Linked DNA regions of Drosophila melanogaster. The gene in region 2 interacts genetically with the main gene of each other region. Each region holds a gene or a part of one and is shown on either strand. Other genes may lie near its edges.

Region 1 (9,658 bases), on a different chromosome or scaffold from region 2:
ACCTTGGCTAGCTAAAAAAAAAAGCTCATCCCCTTGGCCGTTCGAGCCGTATTCCCGATTTGTTCCAAACGCGTACGTTTTATGTTGTAGATATGTAAAAATTGTATAAAACAAAACGAATTGTGAAACGAAGCTGAAGAAAAACCAGAAAACTTAACTAAAGAGAATTTAAGAACTAAACCAAAGCATTTTTTATAAGGGATACAATCTCTGCTGCTTAAATGGGATTTATAGCACAGTTGTATAATAAGACACCATTGCGTTTCCTTTTCGTTTTATTTAAATTTATTTCAAATGATATTTGATGTTTAATTAACAATGTTTCATTTTACTTTTCCTTTGAGAAAAAAACGCTTAGTTTTTAAGATTCATGCTGTAAATATTATAATAATTGTTTTTCTCTTGTGTGTATGTGTGTGTGTGTGCTGATCTCCAGCTTCCAGATCTTCTACAACTTTCGTTGATTTTGCGCCTACTTCGCGAGGAGACAGACTCTTTCGGGTGTGAGTAAAGTGTGTGTGTGTGTCGGTTGACTTCAATCAAATAATGCAATTGAATGTTGTTAAATGTATCGAAACAATTTTTGAATGTTAAGTTCCGTTTTCACATTTTATTATTATTATTATGTTCATATATATTGTGTTTTGTTTTTTTTTTTTTGCTACAGCTGACATCAAGTACAATTTGCTTATGATTTGCTTTTGTCTTTATCATTTGTTTATTTCCACATTTCCTTTTATTTATTTTTAGTTTATTTTTTCTTTTCTTTTCTGTATTTCTAGTTAAACATTTAAATACGAGTTTTCCACATGCCTATGAAATTACAGCGATCATGCATGTCGGCGAATATATATTCATGTATAAATCTATATACCCTTTTCAATGCTTTGCAAACTATATAAAAAAAGTCGTAACCACGAACAATAGCAATGAAATGTGTTGGGGAAACAATTGTGTGAAACAAGATGCATCGCCAGCAAATAGTAGGCGCTACGAAAGGAACCAAGTGGGTGGGTGGGTGTATCTATGGATCCAAATCTATGGATCCACGGGTGCAGTGTAAACCATGAACAACACGCGTTTGTTTTGCTTCTAGTAAAGGTTTTTTCGTTCCTTTTTTTTTTTGTGTTTTCTTTTTTAGAAAATTGATTGATTTTTTTTTTGCACTTATTAGATCGTATATATATCGGCGTGTCGGATACAGTTGATGGATTTTCTCAATTTCGGTGCCATTTGGGCTGGAAATCGTTCAATTCGACCTTGGCAAACAACACAAATTACATAAAGGTTTGCTTACAGAAATTTAGTATATTCATATAATATATATATATCTATATATATATATATATATATAGCGTTCATTGAGTGGTGTGTATGTGTGTAGTAATGTAACCACTGAAGTGACTAAAACGAAACTTAGTAAATGCAAATGCCAACCAAAACAATAATGATTATATATAAATATGTATATATAGAGCCGCCGTCCGCGTTCGATCTCGTTTCGGGATTTAGAGAGGGACAGACGGTTGAGAATGAGAAAGAGTGATGGGACGAGGGGTGAGGTGAAGCAACTTTTCTTTCTTAGAGAGCGTCGGCCTTGCAGAGCATTGTTGTTTTTATTTTTTTATTTTTTGAAGCTTTTCATTGATTGGTTTTCCATACAAGTGTTTCTTCTTAATTTTTGTTGCATTTTGCTAAATGTTTTTTTCTTGACATTTGCGTTTCTGTTTTCGATTTAAATTTTACATCTAGGTCTATGTGGCTGCAAAAAATTAATTAACAAAAAGAAAGCAAATAATAAAAAAAATTGATAAAACTGAAGTTTATTCTCGCACTCAAGTAACAAATTGGTTTTTCTTTTAGTTTCGTCGAGAAGGTATGATTAATGATAATTTTTGTTATTCTTTGAAATACTTGACTTTTCCCGTTTGCAAATGCATCGAAAAATTATTAAAACGAATTGTGAGGCATTTTAAACTTAAGTTCTTACAAATTAATAATAGCGAAAAAATGCAATCGAAAATCTGAGCAAATATACGTATGGATCTTAGCGGATTTTAAAGAGTTCTTGAGAGATGTTCCCCCTTGCGAAAATACGATTTTACGTCTCTTCTATTTTTCCCTTTCTCTGCGGTTTTTTTTTTGTTTTTTTTTTTTTTTTTTGTTTTGTTTAGCCCAGGTACCAAAAGTAATCATTCGTTATGTTTTCTTTTTTTTAAGTATTGATTATGATGTGAGGGATTTCATAGGGCCCAAATGTTCTTATTACTCAAAGTCCGGTTGCGACTAATTCAAGCGAGATCTTGCAAAAACTTAAATATTTTTGGTTGAAATACACGAAGCGTCAATACAGCTTAAAATTGTTTCGAATGCTTTACACTTAAGTCTCGTTAAGATTCGTATTAAAAACAAGAACTGCCAATCTGTCTTTGAGCAATATGTTGGAACCAAACAATATTTCTCACATCATAATCCATACTATTCTGAGCGATACTTGTTTCGCTAACAAACAATGATTATTTTTGATTTTCAATACAACCGTTTAAATGTATACGGTCCCCGGTTTAGTCAGCTTTACATTCGTCTCTGTGGTTTGTTTCTTCTGCCAATTAAATTTATTTTAATGCTCCTGCTGCTGCTGTTCTTCTTTCGTTGTTGTTGCTATTGTTAGTTGCTGCTGCTGCTGCTGCTTTTGCTTTTGTTGTTGCTGTTGCTGTATGATGGTGTTGCCGCTGTTCTTGCTGTTACTGTTGCTGCACGTTGCATGTAGCATGTTGCTGGCGTTCGTTTATGGCATTCAGAGAAAGAATTTGCCCAGCAGGAGGCTAACGATGGCCGCAGCAATGGCAACTGCAATGTAAAAGACCGGAATCTGCTTCTCAGCCAGGACTGGGGCATAGGGCTCATTCACCTGTTTGACGGCCGGCGAGCTCCGGAAACGTGTGATTTGATCCTGCAAATGGTTGAGAAATTTATTAATTTACACAAATGGATAGATTGATCCTTATCTGGCTACTTACAAAATATTTATCCTATGTATTCTTTTTTGAACTCGAAAACAAATCAGCACCCCAACTGAACCGAGTTATTGTATAATAACAATAATTATATATCAAGCGCGCAGAAAACTCCCAGGCACAACAGATCATTATTTGCATTATTCTTGGAATTACCAAATTGGATTTACTTATATTTAAAGGCTGATTATTTTTAGTACACCACAGCAACCTAATGCAAGAAATTGTCACTAATAGTGTCATTAATTTTCATATCAATTTTGAGATCATCGCGTACAGCCTATAATTTGAAAAAAGTCAGAGGCCTGCTTCTCCTTATGGCTGAATCGACTCATTCTAACCGATTGCGAACAAAACTGAATATTCAATATTGAAGACATCTTGATAATACTGCTGAGGAACTCCCTTAGGTAGCAGTAACTTCGACATTGCACTACTCAAAACACAGAAAAAATGAAGAGTCATAATGGAATTGGCTTACCTTCAAGTGAAGATTCTCTCTTCGCAATTCAATGTTGCATTCACGCAGCGCTTTGATCTCTCCGGACAGCAAGTCCAGACTCTCAGACGTTTCGAGCAAATTGGATGGCTTAAACTGGGTAATATGTTAGCGTTATTTATTATGCCATTAGAAAGGTTTTGCCTGTTCGACTTAACATACCTTATCCTCGCTGGAGAGCTTCGGCTTGCTCTCGAGCGCCTCAGCGCTGGCTGAGCTAGTATTGGCACCCGCGCTTCCGCCTCCGGCAGCTCCGGTTCCGCCGCCAACGGCACCACCACCGCTGGTGTTCTCAGCATTTGCCTCAGCGGTGGGCATCTCGAAAACGCACTTCAGTTTGGCGTCCATCAGCTGCTCGGGCTCCAGATCCTTCCACTGCGGGTGTAGAATAGGACGTTGATTAGAAAAGTAATATACACACTATGCCATCATTAAGAGTCCTATTCGTTTCCCCTTACCAATTTATTTAAATCGCTTAGATCAGCATCCATGGGTGCCAGGACGCTCTGCACCATGAACTTGTGCTTGTTCTTCTCCTGCTGATCGTAGACGAATGGCTGAAGGCAGACTATGTACATGCCGAGGATAAGTAACGATATTATTAGAGTAACGATATACCATTTGAGAAATACTCACTCTCCACCTGGGTTGATCGAAAGGGAATTATCTTGCCGATGTTTGGACGTACGCAGTAGCGTTTCGGGGCGGTTGTCTTGATCTTGAAGACCAGAGGCAGAGCCGAGTTGTTGCGCAGAGTCATGATTGTGACAACGGGTCGGGTGAAGGGACCTGTAAGGCGAGAATATATCAAAATGAGTGTTAGCTTAAGGAACACATCTTATTAATTTCATGGCACATATAACGCATATGTACATACATATTTCCCTATTGTTAATATTTTCTGATTTCCGATTTTCTCCTCATGATATGATCTTTAAATAAAACAGGCATTATCGCCCTTTCATATTGAATGCACCCGATTAGTCACACTATTTTGGCGATAGCCCCACCCAACCCAAAAGCGCCCAACACTCGCACTTTCCACATTTCTCTACTTTCCCGATTTTCCCCACTCTTCCTGATTTTTGTGTAGCGTCACGCTCGTTGCGTCATTGGTCGAGGCAAGTTCAAATTAATTGAATTAATATCAAAACAAAATCGAGAACGGGCACAAAAACCGAATAGTAAACTGAATATCGAGGAATACCCTGCATATTGAAGTTGGATTCACTACCAAAATGTGTAACTTATTTTGAAACTATTATGAAATTACAAAAATTACTTCAAATTATTTCAGATTTAATGTGATTAGTAAACGCTAGTATTACTCCGAATATTACTTTTAAGCCGACTAGAAATCGATCGCGGGGTCTTACATTCTAAAATAGTTTTTTTGGTCACATTTTTAACAGGCATTGGTGAGAAAATCAAAACAAACCAGGAAATGGGCAAAAACTAACGAAAGGAATTTTTTTTGTTTGTTAGCATGGCGTGTGCGTGTTTTTCTTTGGTGTAAGTGTGTGTCAAGGAAATTTCATTAGACAAAGTCGCGTCATGCATGTGTTTTTCACCCCTCGCCGACCGCACTATTCACGATCTAACGGGAAACGTGGGCGAGGGGGTTGCAAAAGAATGGGGCTAAGGCTCACTCACACATACACAGATATTAAAATATTTGCGCACAATGGAAGCGATAGCAAAATACTTGAAAAGTTAACTCAATTTTTTTCAATAAGACAAAATACAAATGGTGAATGGTTATTGGTGTATTATTCTAGATCGCAATCAACAATGATTGGTCATTTAAGTAGACATTTCGTTCTGCAATTGAGACTGTGATAAAATTTCGCGAAAAAAATTAAATGTTTATGCACTGGAAAATGCAGCTTGGCAACAGGAGTTCAATAACAATGCGATGACAACCGTGCCACTTGTCGCACCCACTGTGCGAGCTCTTTGCATTGTTTTTGTCACTGCTGCTGTTGCTTTTTGGCCAAAATTCAAGGAGCCAAAAGACAAGAAAAAATTAAAATGGCCCATGACAAGTTTTTGCGTATAAAAATATAATGCTAGCCAAAAACGCGAAACGAGTGAGCAAGAGGGAGAGGGATGGCGAGTGCAAGTGAGAAAGAGAGCGACGCCAGCTGCCGGCATCAAAAAATAAAATACATTAAAGAGCTGAAGCAAAAAAAAAAAAAAGAAAAAAAACGGAAAGAAGCAGAGCGATGATACACGTAGACCCCGAAAAGAACAACAATAAAAGGTGTCGTATGTAAAGGAAGAACAAAAACAACGGAAATTATTGATAGCCAATCGAGCGAGATGGCAATAGAAAGCGTAGAGGGAGGGAGATTAAATGTGCGCGTGAGAGAGAGAAAAAGTGAAACTTGCAGTTTGCTCTTTGCAAGAAATGGGAGGTGAATCGGCTTTTTTGGTCGATATGCAGCGACCTTTCCGCAAAAACGCGAAAATAATGTAAAATAAACTTACCCACAAAACGCAACTCATGTTCTGGTTCAATGGTCAACGGAAGATCAAAGAGTGATTTGCTCATTGTGGCGGCTGGCTTTTGTTGTTGTTGTTGCTGCTGCTCCTGGTGTTGTTCTTGTCGTTGTTGCTGCCGAGAATTTCACTCTCTCCGCTTTTCGCCTCTTATCGTTTTAATTTTATTTTTTGTGCGTCCTGTTTTTGCCCAGCTATTTGTTGTTCTTGCTGGCTGTTTGCTGTTAAGAAAATGCACACAAAATTATATTAAAATGCAGACGCACGCATAGATACGAGACACAGGCACACAACTAAATTAAAAGAGGGATTTCAAATTTTTCGCTTACGTTTGCGTTTTTTAGCCAAATATATCAAGAAAACTGCTGCTGTTTTTATGCCTGTTTCGTTTTACTTTACTCGTCTCTCTTTTTTTCTTTCGTTTTTCGTTCGTTTCGCTCTCACAGGCGAAATATCGGTAAATTTATGCGACCACACACACACGCATGGACAAAAAAAAAGCAAGAGCCAGAGAAACTCACGCACGCACGGGCTTTTTGCAGAAAATTTCGGGAAAAAAACACAACGATCAACGTGCGACTTCTTCACCGACTTTAGGTCGCTTTTCTGTCGATATTTTCGATTTCAGTGGTTTACCACGCTTCGGTTTCTTCGCAAACTTCAGTTGAAAACGCAAAATGTAAAAAAGCCATATATTCTGTCAGCTAGTGATGTGAAAAAAATATCGATGCATCGGGTATCGATATTTTTAGTTTAGCGACTTTTCGATACTTGTCAAGCATTGGTCGTTAAATTACCTTGTAAAATATATATAGTGTTTTTTAAGACAAGATATTTTTTCTATTTTTTTTTATTTAGGTAATTTGAAAATGTTATTAATAACAATTTGCACCAAAATTTTCCTTTCCCTGAATAATGCCATTCAGCTTTTGACAGAATATAAATTAGTTAAATTTATAACATAACGAGTACATGAAATTTAAAAATGTATTAAAATAAATTTTCCTAGTTTTAAGTTACAATTTTGCAACAGGAAGCAAAGCAGTCGAAGTAATACATAAAAATACGAATAAAAATAAGAACATGCAAAATTACAATAATTTTAAGCTTGCCAAAGCATTTATTTAATAGAACACAAATTTGTATTTGATGGTAGTATTACATATTTTATGTAAATATAGTCGGCCTTAAGGACACACAAAGTTGTAAAATAACCTGATATCAAATTATTCTGATGTTCAATCATAGCGTTTTGTATATTATATATATAATACATAATAATACGAAAAAAAAGAACATGCAAAATTTTATTAATTTTCAGCTGAATAACTTCACTTGCTTGCCAAAGTATTTTTAGTAAGACAAAAAATTTGCATGGTAGTGGTACATTTGTTATGTGCATACAGTCGTCCTTTTAAAGGACATACAAAGTTGTAAAATAATCTGATATCAAATTATTCTGATGTTCAATCCTAGCGTTATGAATATTATATATGTTTTTAGTCATATAGAGATCTGACTGCCTAAGAATTAAAGTGTTGGACAAGCGGCGGAGTTTCGATTTGGCTTAAGAAAATTACACTTCTAACAGCATCTCCTTAACACTTGGCCGCCTGCTGTTCCTGGATATTTATGCCGAATCGCACAGCGAAGGCTTTACTAGCTAGCTTCATAATCTCGTTGCGAATGGAGAATGGAGCCTTGGCCACAACGGCCATCAAATGATCCCAATGCTGGCGCTTCGTGATGGTCTTATTGTGTTTGGCGTGGCTCCGGAAGGCGATCAAATATTCTCGAAATAGGAATCTAAAGGCCATGAAAGCGGACTCGCTGTTCACCTTGACCACTGCATCGCTAAGATCGCCCATAACAGCACAATCGGCCCTTTTTTTAAGGAGCTTTTTGAAGAGATCGTTAGCCTCCTGTGCACTGGACTGAGTTAGCAATTTGAGAAAGGAGCGTGTGTCCTTTAAGGTGTCTTCTTTAAGGTAGATGAGCCAAAAGCCCTTGTGCTTTAAACTGTTCACTTGGTTCAAGATCCTCTGGCGGCATTCTGTGAAAGAGCAATAATTAGTAGGCTTTCGTCTTGGACTTACATTTATAAGAGCGCACCAGTGCCTAGGAATGTCAGATGAGACAGACCGTCCTGCCAATACCACACCGCCAGTTCTAAATTATCCACCCGGAAATCTTCAAAGGTGGCCAAGTCCCAGCGTAGGGCATCAATGGTTTTCATGACATGCGAGATCAGCTTCCAGTGTTTCAAACGCCACTCTGGCAAGCTGGCATTCAGATATGTGTAGTGCTTGGCCACCTTGACAGCTGGTGCATCGTCTCCGTTCTCCAATTTCGGGTGCTCCTTTTCGAGTGCATTTAACTCTGCAGTGCCTCGGGTGATTAGATTGCTTTCACCCAGACTAATCTGCTTGAGCAGTTTCAAGATTAACTGCAAGCTGGGCAAGTTCATGGGCTCTATAAACTTGGCCAAACCGTAGGCACACGCGTCTAGGAACCTATTTTGCGCCTGCCTAAGCTCATCCTCTCCGTAGGGACACCGTCCGTCTTTCAAACTAACGCACAGTTGTCGCGCTGACGTGTAGAGACCGTTGAGGATCTGTCGGTGGCCATATAGGTAGAGTGTAAACTGCAAGGCATACGGCTTTTGAAGTAGTTGCTCGTTCACCAAGATGTTATCGGCACAGGCGGAAATATGAAAAGCAGCATGCTTGGGACAAGACTGAGCTATGTGCCAGAATAGCTTCGAGAAGCGAGTATGCGTCACGCCCAAGTGGGAGAAATCAATCCAGGTCTGTCTTGCGTTCTCAAAGCACAGTACTAGAAATTTGGTTATCGGGAAGCGCTTATTATAATCCAATTGATTAAAGAAGCGTATGCGACGCTCCCGATGATCGGGAGCCTTGAAATTAAATCCTTGGGTAACGTTTTGCTCATCGCGCAATAGCAGTACTTCCATCTTGTCCTCGACATTTAATTGCATAAATAAGGGACGCAGTACTAGGCTTAGCAGCTCTTCGTAATCATCGTTGGACGAGGTCTCGTCCTCGTCATCCCCCTGATTTACTTCCGTAACGGATATGCCCTCGTCCTCGACCACCATTTCGGACTCCACCACCTGACCCAGGAAACTGAGTATTATCTGGGCATGTTTCTTGGTGAGCATAATTAAATGATTTGCCATCGTTTCCACGCACTCATCGTTACCAAAGGCTATGAAGCGGCTAAAGAGATTGTCCAGCCCGGCGAGCAACTCCTCATCGGTGGCCATACCGGAATCGAGAAAGACTAAGAGTTCACCCATTCTCATCTCGGCAACGCGCTGCTCCAATGTTTTTGCTGCATCCGCAAAGCTCTGCATCTGCTTGCAAACCGGATGCTCTCCGAGCATATTATCTGATTGGAGTACTTTAAGCAATTCTGCCGTCTGTCTACAGATTAGCTCCTGGCAGTTATACAAAGCACTTTTCGATTTCATTTCATGCCAATACATATACGTGTCTACGCTAACGAGCTGAAAGATACGCCGCAGAACGTCTAGCAGTATTTGGGCGAAATGCCGCAGATCAGGCATGGGATCGCTTGAGTTGCTGTCACTGATGTCCTCGGTTATTTGGCTGTAGAC
Region 2 (7,586 bases):
CCGGTCGGAAACCCCATCCCCTACCATTCCATACCATACTACACCATCCCATCCCATGTCATACCATCCAATCCAATCGAGTGCCCCCGACTCGCACACCCTTCAGCCGGAAAGCGTGTACGCCGGATAAACTTTTCGGCATGAGTTCTTATAGGCAAAAATGGTTTTTCAATACTCAAAGATTTATGAGTCTATGAATCTTGTACCCATGCACAAGCATGTAAGTGAGTTTGTCGGGGTGGGCACTGAGAAAAAAACGCTGTACGTTCAATAAGATATACGTTTAAATAAAAAATAGTTTGATTAAACCAGTTGCAAATGTGATTACCTAATTTAAGAAGTAAATCGGTCTTATTTTATTTTTAAGAATGCGATATCCGTTTTTTCGTCTGTATGGCTAGGAGATACTGATAGCCGCTCCTTCCGACCTGACCACACTGCATAATCCTCGGCAAAGATCCCGGCCAGAACCGAAAGGGAACCACTGGAGCAGCAGAAGAGTCAGAAGAGGCCAAAAGCAAACACCACAAATTAGTCGGCATATAACTCGAACCGGTAAATGGCTAAAAAGAGAACGGGAGGGGAGTGGAGGTGTTCGCCAGGAGAACAACAAATAGAAATCAAGTGAAATTCCTGGGCAAGCAAAGTTTTCCATTTCATTTTTCGGATTTTGCTCATCTATTTTTCATTTTTGCCTTTTTGGATTCCCGAGCAAACTCGGGGCAGCTGCCACATGGAACATGAATCAACACAGAAAGTCCTCAAAAGTTCTCGGGGATGATTTAATTAGAATTCTCGAAGATGTCACCCAGGGCTATGCCCCTAGCCCGGCTTGGCCGGGTTTAAGCCGGCGTTGGGCAACGTTTAATTATGAAATTTTCAAGGTGGCAAGTTGGTAAGTTGCTACGTTGGTACGTTGGTACGTTGGTCGGTTGGTGGGTTGGCAAGGTGACAGGGAAATGCAAAAGGGGGAATCTGGGATGCCCCACCTTAAGGTATTTTGTGGTAGATTAGCCGGGCGTTCAATGTGTTGATGCGGCGGAGGCGTGGAATCCCGATTGGTGTCGGGTTTCGGGTGTCGGATGCTGGCAACGATGTGATAAGTTAATTGAAATTAAATTTTAATTTCATGGGATAAAGTTGCCTTCGATGAGATTGCTTTTTGCGGGCGTTAAGGTGCCGCTCGCAGTCAATATGGAAACGAAAGCGTTGGGGGGAGTGGGTGTGCATACGTCCAAAGACCAATCAAAAAGGAATCCCCCGGGTCTATTAACAGAATCATTTCATTTCCCTTTTAATGGACAACTCACATGTCACGCTGCCTCTAAGAAAACTCATTTATACATTATGTATACGCCGTGTTGAACACACAAGATTCAATCTACGTCGCAACGCAGTCCTTGAGAATGTTAATTGGAGTCTTTCCTGCCACATCGAAACACCTTGGGTTTCCCAGGAAGCCAAACACTCGAACAATCACAATTCGCCCGGGGCTCCAGAGTTCTACATCGGTTTTAATTATACAAATGCAAATGCAGACGAATCCGTCCGACTTTCCAGTTAAGTAAACGGCAGGAGCTTACGGTTTTCGCCTGAAATCGATTCCCCAATCATAACTACAAGTGGCTATAATCACCTCGTCCGGCGGACAACGATTTTAACAATTGCCCAACCACTCGGACTTAAACCCATCGGTTGTTGGTTGCCGGTGGTCGGTGGTCGGTGGTCGGTTGAATGGCCAACGGCACCCGTGGTCCTGGCCATTAACTATGCAAATAATGTGCGGGATATAGACAAAATCGCCACAAGATTAATGCTTATTGATTTTCCCGGCCAGCGATAATTTGTTAGCACGCCAAATTGGCCGACAGTCGAGCGCCACTGAGTGAATGCGATTTTTCTGGCTTACTTTTCTATTTTGGGCAAAGCCATTCGAAGAATTTGATAAGCCCCTCTTGGAATTTTTCAGGACCCCAACCCCCAAAAAGTTTTTGTGGGTATTTGCATTATTAAGTACTCGCACCGCTCCCCCGATTTTCCGATTTCTTGGTGGTCGCTCGCTTTGTGGGAAATGCGAAATGGAAGATGGAGGATGGAAAATGGGTGACGACGGGTCGGTCATCCATTGAGCCGAAGGTGTCACATTGCCGGGATTTGCTTATCAGACATCAAAGGACACCTTGCGGTGCCATCGTTCCCAGATCGTTGCCATTGCAACCCGCAAACGAGAATTTGGCATGCGGAGGAGGAGGGGCAGGACTCACTGCCAAGTTTACGCATCCCTTGAAATTTTGGCTCCAGCCGAGGGAACTTACTTTCAGGTTTGTATAAATATTTTCGCTGGCTTGTTTGTCTGGTTTCGTCTGTTTAGCATTTCGGAATATTAATTAAAACAAACTTTCGGGGAATGTGAGCATTATTAAAAGGAAAGCTTACGTGAGCTGCCTTCTTCGGACTTTTTAGCCACTTCGAATCAGTTTTTGTATTTGTAAAAATGGTGCACATGAAAAACATTGAAATCTGTTTTGTTATGGAAAAATCTGGCTAAGTAAAAAAGAGCTTTGGCCACAAAGCCACAAAATGGCAAAGCAAGATTTAAATGCCTTCAAGTTGAAAGCATTTTGGGAAGGCAATTAAGGGCAAATCCTTGCAGATAAACGTATTTGCCATTTGTCTCAGCTAGAACTTAAACGAGTATTACTTTCAACTCAGTTAACAGACACATCAATTGGAATTAGGAAAACATAAAGCAAGGGTCTCTATAATCGATTTTTGGCACAGTTACTAGGTGTAAATGGGGAAGAAACTTTTACTCGAACCCAACATTCTTGCATCCAATGGATGTTGTCAACCCGAATTGAACGAAACTTAGAGAAATTTTGTTTTTTTATATTGAAGAAGGAGGCGAACCCATCGGAAGCCCGGAAAAGAAAATGTATTAGAAAGGGTCTATAATTCGTCTGTTTCCTCAAGAAGTCCTTGAAAGGAATCCCCAAAATGGAAGCCTGCGGTCCTGGGCAGCATTACCTGGATTTACTTAGCACAACTTCAAAGGAAGGACACTTTCTCCCGCGGGAAGTGGCGCTCCCCCAATTCGTCCTCACTCCGCCCGACTTCTTATTTACTCTTCATCTCTTTATTTCACCGAAATTAGCTGGAAGTGAAAACGAAACCGAAACAGCAAAAGAAATAGAAACTAAACGAATATCGAGCGGCAACAAAGCCATCGCCAAACGCAAAGCAGAACAGACCCCATCCCATCCCATCCAATCCCGAAAACCCGGCCAGACCGAAGTCAACCTACTTTTGGACGCAACAGACTACGCCAGAGCCGAGCGAGTATCCTATATGTGCCATGTAAGTGCACAAGGAGAAAAAGCTGGCAGCTTCGCTCTGTGGATTACTCTGCCAATATTTACTCAACCCTTCCTGTTGTTTTGCGGCGCCATAAAATTCCCAAATATTGCAATTCAATTAACACACGCCTACAGATACATATGTATATGCCATTATACGATAATGTAAGATAAATAATACCGCCTCTCCTTGTGAAAAAGGATGTGGATTTGGGGTTTGAAGAGCCGATACCCCATTTCCATTTGAGCCGTAGGGATTTATTTGGGAACACGTTGGATGGAAATTCACAAAATTGCACAAACTCCAAGACAATGACCGTAAAGCACAATTCCACCATCAATTTTTCAGTCCAAAATAAAGTAGTATCCACTTTTTTCTGCCCGTGCACGAGTTCATTCGGTATGCGCCCAGATGGCAAGCGTGGAGTGGGTTTTTCGGGCAGACGGGCAGGCGGACGGCGAGGAGGACGTGTGGCACGAGGGGGACAAACGGGCGCCCTGCGGCGGATTATTGAATTTTCCAGCATTCTCCGCTGACACTTGGCGCCTAATGCGCTACCGCTTACCTTCGCCTACTGCTGTTGCTCCAGTCCTTGTTGCTGCTACTGGCTTGCTCCTGCGTCCTGCGTCCTGCGTCCTCCGCCTTCTGCTGCTCCGGCGGCTGCTGCTTACCGATTCACTGGCTCTGACGGAAATTCCAATGGAATTTGGCATAATTTACATATCTCCGAGTGCTTGGGCCAAGCGGGCCAAATGCATTGGACACGGTGTACAGGAGTGCGTGTGTGTACCCGATTTTCCGTTTATTTTCCGAGTGCTCCGTCTTTCACCGAATATCCGCACTTTTTTCCCAGGCCCGATTTCTGGGCCGCTGGGCGAAAAATCAAAAACGGCGCGCGTGTCGTACCGCTTGCTACATCCACTGATTTGACGCGCGACCCACGCACTTGCAACACGCGACACACGAGCACCGGGAATCGAACGTCGAGAGTCGAGAATCGAGGAACTGGGGGGCTATGAAGTTGGTTTTTTTGGGGGCACCGAGGGATGAGGGGGCAACTAAGATGAATGTCAATAAAAATGATTCTGCTCTGCACTGCAGTTGGCCTTTTTTCAGCTGTACCACCGAATTCACCTCTTGGCTTTCTGTTTTTCTCCCCGTTTTTTTTTTCGGTCTGTCCCGAGTTACTGTGATTCAATTACAAATCCCAGACGAAAGTCCTGAGGATAGGAGCGCCGGGAAGTGGTTTTCTCGCCACGCGAAGAATCCGTACTGAAGATACAGATATGGCCTGCGAATTGGCAAGTCAGAACTCGCCACAATTCATCTCGCAGCATGGCTGCTGCGCAAAATCCGGGATCTGCGCCTGCGCCGCTCTCCCGCGCTCTCTCTCTCGGACTTTCTCTCTGCGACTGTCTCTCCGCATTCTCCGTGGTGGGTATGTGTGTGTGCCACGCTCGTTGGAATGCTATAAAAAAGGAAACGTTAGAATGAAATGAAAATGTAGCATAATTTATGACTGCATCGTCTTTTAAATAATTGCACGCACACACACCTACGAACCTACACCCTGCCCACCGCCTTAAATATTAACATCCACTCACCTAACGACCGACCGCCTAAAAACACCCGAGAATCCTAATGGCCATGTAAATATGCATTTTTTTATATTCCATACGACTTTTTAAAATGTCTTCCAAATTGGTTACGGGTCAATGGTGTTTGAACGTTCCAAGAATGAAAGCGATACGAGAAGATTTACGAGGAAATTTGATAAACAAATCATGAGCAAATAATTGTCCTGCTGTCTGCCCAAATGAATAGTTGTCAAATACTTAAGAACTCTACTTTTTTAATTGGTATTGCAGATAAAGATCTTAGACGAACATCTCTATACTCAAATATAAAGGACTGCGTTTTTAATAGTATTTTATTCAAGCTTATATTATACAAGTGAAATTGAACCCCTAATCTTAGCTATTGCAAGCATGAACTACTTATATTTGGCAAATTTAGTGATGAATTTACCTTAATGTAAAACCACTTGATAGGCAATTGTTCTTCATTTTTGGCCACTTGCTAAAGCCACTTCAGATTAACCAGCTCAGATAGATGAAGCCGATTTGAAATCAGTTCGTATGCCTCTAGAGAACGCGTCGTTGTTGTCATTAGCTTTTCGAATATGGAAATGGGTGGGTAACTAAGAGACTAGGAGGTTGTCATGCACTACTAGAGAATCAATGTTGGCGAGAGAGATGTGTGTTTCCCAATCAAAGTTCCACGTTGTTCAAATTGGACCCGGAGGAAGTGGGCAGATCGACGTCGCTTGGCGGCACAAAAGTGCCCATGGTTAGGACGCTCTCCTGCTTGGCACACAGTTTCAACATCTCGGATTTAAGTTTGTCCAGTATGGCGTAGTTGGGTTGGTTGACTGCCGCCTTGCTCTGCAGCACGGTGATCTCCTGCTCCTCCAGCTTCTTCTCCTTGAAGGTCTTTATGGAGTTGTTGCCGTAGAGGCGCAACAAGGAACCCCAGGTCTGGATGTGCGGATGCAAAATCTGACGAAAGGTTAACTCAATAGCTATAAGTAAAGTTATAAAGAAATATCAATGCTCACCTGGAGGATTGCTTGCGAAGCCAACTGCTTGCCCTCCCGCTTGTTTTTACACACCACTTTGGCAGTATGTTTGCCCACGGTCATGGTAAACTCGTTCTTGTTATTCGCGGTGCGGTTGATCTCCTGGCTGATCTGAACATCGCTGCCGTAGTTGCGCTGCAAGCAAGTCAGCAGAATGGCGTTGGGAGATGGCTCCGTCGTCTTGTTGCAGAATTCGGTGACTCGGGGATCTTCGATGCGGATGTCATCGAAAACCTGCAAGAAATATAAAAATAAGAAGTGGTTCCATTTTCTATAGGTAGATTGCTTACAGACAGATCGCTCTGCGCTTTCTTCGCAGTGCCGCTCTTTTGGTCCTTATTGTTGCCCGTTATCTTGTCCTTGACATCGGGAATGAGTATTTCCAGCGTTTCCCGAGCCGCCTCTGACTTGGCCTGCTTTTTACTGGTGCCATAGCCCGTGCCATACTTGAGATTGTTCACCGATACGGTGGCGGAGTAAGGCGTGGCTGCGTTTTGGAGCTCCTTGAACTCATAGGTGGGCTGCGTTTTCAGAGCATGCTGCACGTACTCGTGCAGGATGCAGACGAAGCTCTTGCCATTGGGATTCATGATCCACTCCTTCCGACCGCGCGGGTTCGTTGATCCTTCGCCAGCATTCGCTAGTATTGGGAACTTAATAAGCTTAGTGCCATCCGGCAGCGTGGGTCGTTGAATATTCTTGATGTGTTTGCGGTTTTTGGTGAACTTGCGGCGAGCATTCCAACTCCGAAATCGCAGCACACGAATCACCTTGAATTTGAAGAGTTTCTGGCAGTAGGTGTTTAGTTGCTCCGGTGTAATGGATTCCTTTTGGGTATTCTCGTTGACCGTAACAATTTTAGCAGCCGGCATAAGGGCAGTTATTCCATCTGGTTGGGTTTTGGAATCGGTGCTGCCTTCGTTGTTCTCTTTTCCCTCCACGTCCATGGCTTCGGCCGGTAAAGCGGAAGCTCCGGCCATGGGACATACAGCCACTGGCGGCGCTCCATCCGTCTTTTGTTGCTCCACCTCCGACTCTTCCTCCAAAGCCCGCCTGTAGTTAAGACAGGGGATTGCTCCCAAGGGCACTGCATGCTTGCGGGCACTTCCAGTGCCGAGAAAATAGGGCCTCGATGCGCAACAGACGCGAGTTTTGCGATGCAAGAAGAGCGGCATTCCACTGTTGTGGGTCACCTGCACCCATCCCTCGGGTAGGACTTCAAAGTGGTTGAGGCGCTTTTCTAAAAGAGTAGTCACATTAAAATACTCGTCATCTTGGACACTTGGTTCGACGAAAAGCACTGACCTTCCAGCACAGTCTTGAAACGCTGCTCGTATTTGGGCTGCTTTGACTCGCGGAGCTCTTCGGGCAGCTTCTCGTCCAGCAGATTCTCGATCTCGTCATCATCGAATTCCGAGGAATCGTATTCTTCGCCGTCACCATCAGCCGCCTCTTCCTCCTCGTCGCCTCCTTCTCCATACCTTCCGCCCTGCTGCTCGCTAGCGTTGTCTGGTTGCCATGTAAGGAGATACAATCACGGATAAATAAGTTGTCTGTTTGTCTGGGAAATGGAAAACCAGCCGCGAAGTTG
Region 3 (6,936 bases), on a different chromosome or scaffold from region 2:
CCGAAAAAGGCCACAAAGGCACAGGTGGCCACCAGGAGCAGGGGCAGCAGTCCCTCGATCTCGTTGGTGTGCATATAGTGGGCTACACCATCTCGCAAAGTGCACTTGGTACCGTTCTTCTCCCTCAGAACACTCGTAGCATTGTTGTAGATGCAGCTCACCCTGGAGGCATCTATGATCTTCTCCGAGCTCTGACCCAGGTAGTTTCTGAACCTGGCCAGGTAACCACACTCACAGCTCCACTGGTTGTCGGCCAAGCTGATCTCCACCAGGTAGGGATTGGCACTTAGTTGCCACACCTCGAAGTGCATCAATCGATTGCCATCCAATCGCAGGACCTCCAGTTTCCTCAGCATCTGGAAACTCCCATTGGCGATGCTGGCTATTTTGTTTGATTGCAGATATAGCTCCCTCAGGTTCTCCAGATTGTGGAACTCGTTGCCCTCCAGACTGATTATATGATTATCCTCCAAGTGCAGGATCAACAGGCGTTTAAGGCCACTGAAAGTGGTGTTGTATATGTGGGCCACGTTCGAGTTGTTCGCATAGAGAACAGCCAAGTTCTTGCGACCAAGGAACGAATGTCCCGCCAATTCAACAAAGTTGTTGCCATCGATATACAACTCAGAGGTATCCATGGGCACACGTCTCGGCATCTCAGAATAAGCTGCGCCCGAGCACTCCACAATATTTGTGGACCAGGTTTGGTCATGGAAGCACGTGCAATTCGTGGGGCAGGTCATCTCGCAATCACAAGCATCGAACTCACAGCAATGGCAAACGGCGAAGCAATGGGTCTTGTAGGTGCACAAAAAGTGCTTGGGTTCAGCTTCGATCAGGGGAATATAGGCCCTCTCCCTGTTGTTCAGCAACTTGCAGTATATGGTCTCCAGATCCATAATCCTTGGATATTGCCTCGATGTTATATGGTTAATCTTCTGCAGCCAATCAATGTTACAATCGCAGGTGAAGGGATTTCCACCAATATAGAACTCTGGCAGAGCTCGATGTTCCCAAACTGGCAGAATCCTCAAGGACTTGATGTCCAGCGTTGTGATTTGGTTCGCATAGAGATCCACCCGGGTCAGATTGGTTTTGTGCATAAAGGTATCTGGATCAACGGTGGTTATCAGGTTGTCGTTCAGGAACAGCAGTTCGATAGAGTTTGGTATGGAACTGGGTCCAATGCGCTGAAGTTGATTAAAGCTCACATCGAGAGTTTGTAGTTTTAGCTCACTATCCAAACCAAAACGATTTGATAAGGAACTCAACCGATTCTTATGGAGGTCCAGCCACTGCAGGGTGGATGGCACATGTCCATAATCAAAGGATTCCAAACGATTATCGGATATATTCAGCCACAGAAGGGAGGGCATGTTGCTGAAGAGGCCATTGATGTCATTCAGCTCATTGCCATCCAAACGCACAGCTTGAATGCTCGAGGTCATCTCAAAGGCCCCCGGTTCCACAACTGCTATGCGGTTTCTGGCGAGATTCAGGATTTGCAAATTAGGCAGATCCCTGAAGGTGTGCATCGTAATATTCTCCAGGTAGTTGCCAATCAAGCGGAGACCATAGAGATTTCCCAGACCTTTAAACGCACTATCCTCCATAACGGTAATCATGTTCTCGCCCAGATCCACGGTTCTCAAATGGCGCATATTCCTCAGGGCCAGCGGAACTGTCTTCAGCTGATTGCCATTCAAGTTGAGGTCCTGCAGGGCACTGCAGTTCCGGAAGGCATCCGGATGCACGCCAATCAGCGCATTATTGTCCAGCGAGAGCAGCGACAGTACATACAATCCGTTCAGAGCATATGCATCCAGATACTTCAGTTTGTTGTGCGACAGCAGCAGCGTGTGCAGATTATTCATCGGGGCAAAAGTGTCGGCTGCGATGTTCTCCAGCTGATTGTGACGCAGATTAAGAATCTGCAGGGTGTACAAGTCGCTGAAGATCTCTGGCTCCAGTTTGGTCAACTTGTTGTGCGACAAATTAAGCAGAACCAGACGAATCAGACCCACAAAGGTGTTCTTATCGATCCAGGTGGAGGTTATCTGGTTCATGGACAGGTCCAGGGCCTGCAGCTGGTCCAGATTCGAGAAGAGCTGCGGATTCAGCACACTTATGGAATTATTCTGCAGGTACACCTCTTGGATAATCTTGGCTTGCTCAGCGAAGAGTTCTGTGGGCAAGGCCACGATTTTGTTGGAGCTCAGGTTCAGGATCTGCAGGTTCTTCAGTCCACTGAGAGCCTTGTCCGCAATCATGGAGATGCCATTGTTGTTGACCGAAAGGACTCGCAGCCTCCTCAGAGTGCCAAATCCATTTGCTGGCAGCACGACGAAATCATTGTGGCTCACATCCAGGTACTCCAGGTCCAGCGAACAACTGGTGCTTGAGCTACTGCTCTTTTTGGCCGATTCGGTGGTGGAGGTGGATTCGGTGGAACCATTGGTTGGCTCCTTGCTGCGATCCCTGAAGCCCAGCTCGTTGACGTCCTGCAGGCGATTCTCGCTCATGTTCAGGGCAGACAACTCGGACAGGGTGCAGAATATGTTATCCGGCAGGGACCAGATGTTGTTCGAACTGAGGTCCAGTCTCTCCAACCTCCGAGTGACCGAGAAGGCATCCGCTTCTATCTCGAAATTCAGCGCTGGCCACAGGATGTTGTGCGTCCGGAGCGTCAGGTTCCTCAGCTGCTCCAGACCATCCAGAACCTGGCGACCCAGTCGCCCCAGCTTGCAATACTGGATGGACAGCTGCTGGAGCCTAACCAGATGGGCGAAAGATTGCGCCTCCAGGCGACTCTTGGCCATGATTTCGTCATTGCACAGTATGTGCAGGGCAATCGTGTGCTCGGCGGGTATAACACTGAAATTGGTTGTGTCAAACTCGCTGTTCACCGTGCGCAGGTTGCACGTTAAGGCTATTTCCGGCTGATCCAGACCCGCTGCTGGCATGAAGTGACAGTCGTCGGGGGCGTCATACAGCGAAGGGTCACCACCCGCGCCCGCGGTCAAGGGTCGCAGGGTTCGCGCCGGAGTCGAGGGCTGCATTAGCTGCGAGTTGGAGACCCCAGCCTCACCCATTATCGCATTCGAGTGCGACAGCTGCTGCTGCTGGTGGTGCTTGGTGGACAGCGATTCCGTGGTGTGCTGCTGATCCTGGGCCAGGACCACGGGCAGTATGAGTAGCATATAGTAGATCATTTTGGCGATTCACGGTTTAGCTGCGTGGAGGCACCGGAAAATGGGTTTGCGGAGGGGGGAAAGACGGTACAAGCGGGGGTCTTGGGGAGAAACGAAAAGAAAATCAATTCCACTGGCTGGCCAAAGAAAAGTCTGCGCACATATTTTCGGCTTCTGTGCTCCCTCTACTCCAAGCCAGATTTTCTTTATTTTCCCCCGATTCTTTAGTTAATTATGCTCTCCGTGTTTTCTTCTCTCTTACACCCGGCACATTTTCTAGCACTTGGCCTTTTCTATCCTCTTTATATTTAAATTTTTCTTTTTTATTCGTTTCGGCGCTTTGAATTACTCGCTTCGAAGTTTTTGTTTATTACACGTCGCGTTATAGGAACCTTTGATGAATTTCAATTTAGCTGCGGGCTCGACTTCTATTATCACTTTTTCATTTGGCTGAACTGAACCCACTTTTTCTGGGACTTGAGCGGTGCAGCAGCGTCGATATTTTCCGGTTCGTAATGTAACGCGCACGTTGGCTGATTTTCGACTGACTGCCGCAACGTGCGCAACTTCTCTTTTAAATGGAGAGTCGTCCACGAACTCGAAACCCCGAAAATCCGAAAAGCCGAACGCGAGCCGAAGGGGGCTGGAAAACAGACGAAGAGCAGCCGACAGGCTCTGCACGGGCGGGAAATGCTGAGAGTTTTCGGAGAGTATGACTAAAGGGAAATTCGCTCTGGCTCGACGGATGCTGGAAAATGTTTTTCTTTCTCTCCATCTAATCGCATCGAACAGCTGGCGTTCGTTCGTGTTTTCCTTTTGATTTTCTCTGTCTTTTTTCGTCGTATTTCGTATATCCTTTATTTTTTTGCCGCCGAATCGGAGATAGAGCTCCGCACCCCCCGCCGCCAACCGGCGACTTCTCTGCTGTCTCTGTTTTGATAATGAAAATATATGATGTGCATGGGCCAGCGCCAATCTTCATACAAACGTAATTTATTTTTATGCCATGTGCATGTGTGTGTCGGTGTGCCGAGAAGGTCCTTCGGCTGCTTTTTGCTCCTGTTTCGTGGGCCCAGACCCGTATAAAAATAATAATTCCTCACATTCCATTAAATTACAATAATAATTTTAATTAAACTGTTTTGTTTGCGCCTCATGTAACAATTCCTGTGGTTTCATGACTTCTTTTTCGCCCAGCAAAGCAGCAAAAAACTGTCTTCCCCATCAGGTTAATGATAATGATTATGGGCCAGCATTATGGGGTTTCGTTGGGCTTTGGATGTGTGGGGATTTCTGTGGATTCCTCGTTCTCAAATCCGGAAAGTTATGCAAGGACTTGGTTAGACTCGATTGGGAGATGCTGGAAATAGCAAATATGAAAATTCGTGAGCAGAGTTTTTATAAAAAGCTCCTTTTATAGGATATCTTAAATCGCACACTGCAAATTCAGATTTTTGTAGTTACTTAAATTTTGAATTATGTTATTGTCTTTTGGACTTAAATTAATATTTCTTTGAGATTAATTACACTTGGAACATTTTACTACTTCAAATAATAAATATACAATTTTTGCTTCACGCGCCTATGATTTTGATGAATGTATTATAATCTTACCTAAAGTAGTCCTGGTATCTCGAAAAAGAAATCAATCTATCAAGGAAATTTTCCAAGGGTTAATTTACAAAGAAGACTGTCTATTGTTCCTTATTTCGTTAACCTCCGGCATGTATGTATTTTGATTGTTCAATATTTGGGTGAAAGCAGAAATATTGATGGATCACCGCCAACAAATTCAATGGCGATTACCACGGCATGGTAACCTTGATAAACTTCGGGTCTTTCATGACTAATTCCCAAGAAAAACAGCTGCCCTGGACACTTTATCTTGGGCTAATATTTCTTAGCTGGCTTGAAAGTTTTCCCATATCCATGGGTGTTGTGGCTAAGGATCTTTTTGTCGCCACTAAAAGCAAACACAAAAACATTTTTGCCAAATTGCGTCAGCCAACAGAACGCCTCCCACCCATTTTTCGTGCTGGGGTAATGATTTGCCTAATGTTTCTAACAATTATGTGGCTTGGCCACACAAAAGAATATATTATGTAAGTTATTAAAATTATATCACCAGCAGGAGCAGCAGCAGAGCCACGAACAGCAGCCAAGTCTAATAAGCCTCCTGCACAGTGAAGAAAACTATTGCAGTTCAGTCTTAATTTGAGAGATTTTCTCAGTAAGATATTCGCTAAAAATATTAGTTATTTAGGCACATGATGTTTTTCTTTTACCAATTACTCTTGTACAGGGATGTATTACTGTTTTATTCACAAGATTTTCCTTCAGTGCACCCCTTATTTTACTCACCTTCAGGCTTTCGCAGGCTCTTTCAAATGTAAATGGCGGCAAGGACGAGGTTTTGTGGCTCGCTTTCCTTTGTGTGGTGGCACATGCAACCAAGAAGGAATATTTCTTCCCCGGCCTGGTATTCTTTTTTCGGTAGTTATCAATTTGGTGAACGCTTCTGGCTTTTGTCCGTGGTCCTGGTCGCAGCTCCTTTATTTATGTGCCCCATAACGTGGGTTTCTTTCGCTTCGTTTTTTTTTTTTTTTCGGTAACACGAATGACAAGATTTTCATCAACGTCATTAATATTAACTTTTGCAATAATTCTCGAGCTGTGGAAAATTATGAGAAATGACCCAGTAGATAAAGCCAGAGGCTGGGCAAAGCGGAGCTGAATCGGAGTCCACTTTTCGACAAAGCCATAACTCTCGGTGTGCAGATTGGATTGGTTTGCCGGCTATAGTAGATGTCCTTGTCGTGGTATTAGCCTGACGCCTGGACGGCTTTCAAGTCAATCTTAATTGTGGCTCTGTGCTATGGACTCGGCCTAATGACAGCATTTCGGATTACTTTCACTCAAAGCCAAGGGGGAAAGCTAGAAAGAAAGGTTGCATATTTTATGGCGCCCAAGCAGCTTTACGGGTGCACTGTAAAAAATTTTCAATCTGTTGAAGCAACTCAATATCATTAGGTCTGCCATGGATAAATGGGAAGCTCAAATCAAAACACCAAAGTGAGTCTTAGATTAAACAAGCCTACGCTATAACAATTTTTTGACGTACATTCCGCGTTTTACGTGAAAATGGGATTACATATTCCAATCCATTTTGATTACTAAATATTTACTTTTATGTTTTTCAGTGTGTCTATATATGAGGAGGGGGCACAAAAATCACAATTAAATGTAACAATTGCGTCTCTGGGGACCGCAGGTCTGGTTAACAAGAGCATCGGACTCGATTCCCTCCTGTCAGTTGCTTGTCTGATGCCAGCTTAAATTGCCCATACACGTCACAGGCAAACACCACCCAACACCCACCACCTACCGCCCATTGCCCCACATCCTTGCAGTACCCACCCAATGCGATGTTCCTTATCCCCACCCACACCCATCGGATTCACCCATTCAGCTATCCTTTTTGGCAGCTTTGGCTCGTCCTCGTTTGTCGTTTCTCTTTCACTCTGTTTGCGTTTATTAATTGTTGCCTTTATTTTGGCCTCATTTTATTTGATTTGGTTTTCCTTCGACTGGCCGGCCTTCGCCTGCCTTTTTCTGTTCCTTTTGTTTTCACTAGCAGCAGCTATAAAGCCAAACCTAATTGACTTATCTTGCCATGGGTTTGCTAATTTCTCGGCCATTGTGTCTCGCTGACTTGGAGCTTGGAGCTCGGAGCTTCTTTGGGCCA

The links.
Region 1: of kek6 (region 2) and Vap33, changing one suppresses a phenotype caused by changing the other (phenotypic suppression), as found in Drosophila melanogaster (one study listed by BioGRID).
Region 3: of kek6 (region 2) and Toll-6, changing one suppresses a phenotype caused by changing the other (phenotypic suppression), as found in Drosophila melanogaster (one study listed by BioGRID).

Annotation. Positions count from the first base shown.
Region 1 is NC_004354.4:3,946,062-3,955,719, reverse strand, and holds Vap33 (VAMP-associated protein 33kDa), read right to left. Parts: upstream 6,746-9,658; 5' UTR 6,348-6,745; intron 6,240-6,347; 5' UTR 6,071-6,239; coding exon 6,007-6,070; intron 4,306-6,006; coding exon 4,153-4,305; intron 4,085-4,152; coding exon 3,975-4,084; intron 3,892-3,974; coding exon 3,679-3,891; intron 3,613-3,678; coding exon 3,499-3,612; intron 2,954-3,498; coding exon 2,798-2,953; 3' UTR 278-2,797; downstream 1-277. Other genes in the region: Gem4c (gemin 4c), read right to left, coding at 7,617-8,071, 8,131-9,658.
Region 2 is NT_033777.3:31,619,159-31,626,744, reverse strand, and holds the start of kek6 (kekkon 6), read right to left. Parts: upstream 4,610-7,586; 5' UTR 3,923-4,609; intron 1-3,922. Other genes in the region: pasha (partner of drosha), read right to left, coding at 5,628-5,915, 5,975-6,229, 6,286-7,235, 7,301-7,504.
Region 3 is NT_037436.4:15,333,501-15,340,436, reverse strand, and holds the start of Toll-6 (Toll-6), read right to left. Parts: upstream 3,746-6,936; 5' UTR 3,213-3,745; coding exon 1-3,212.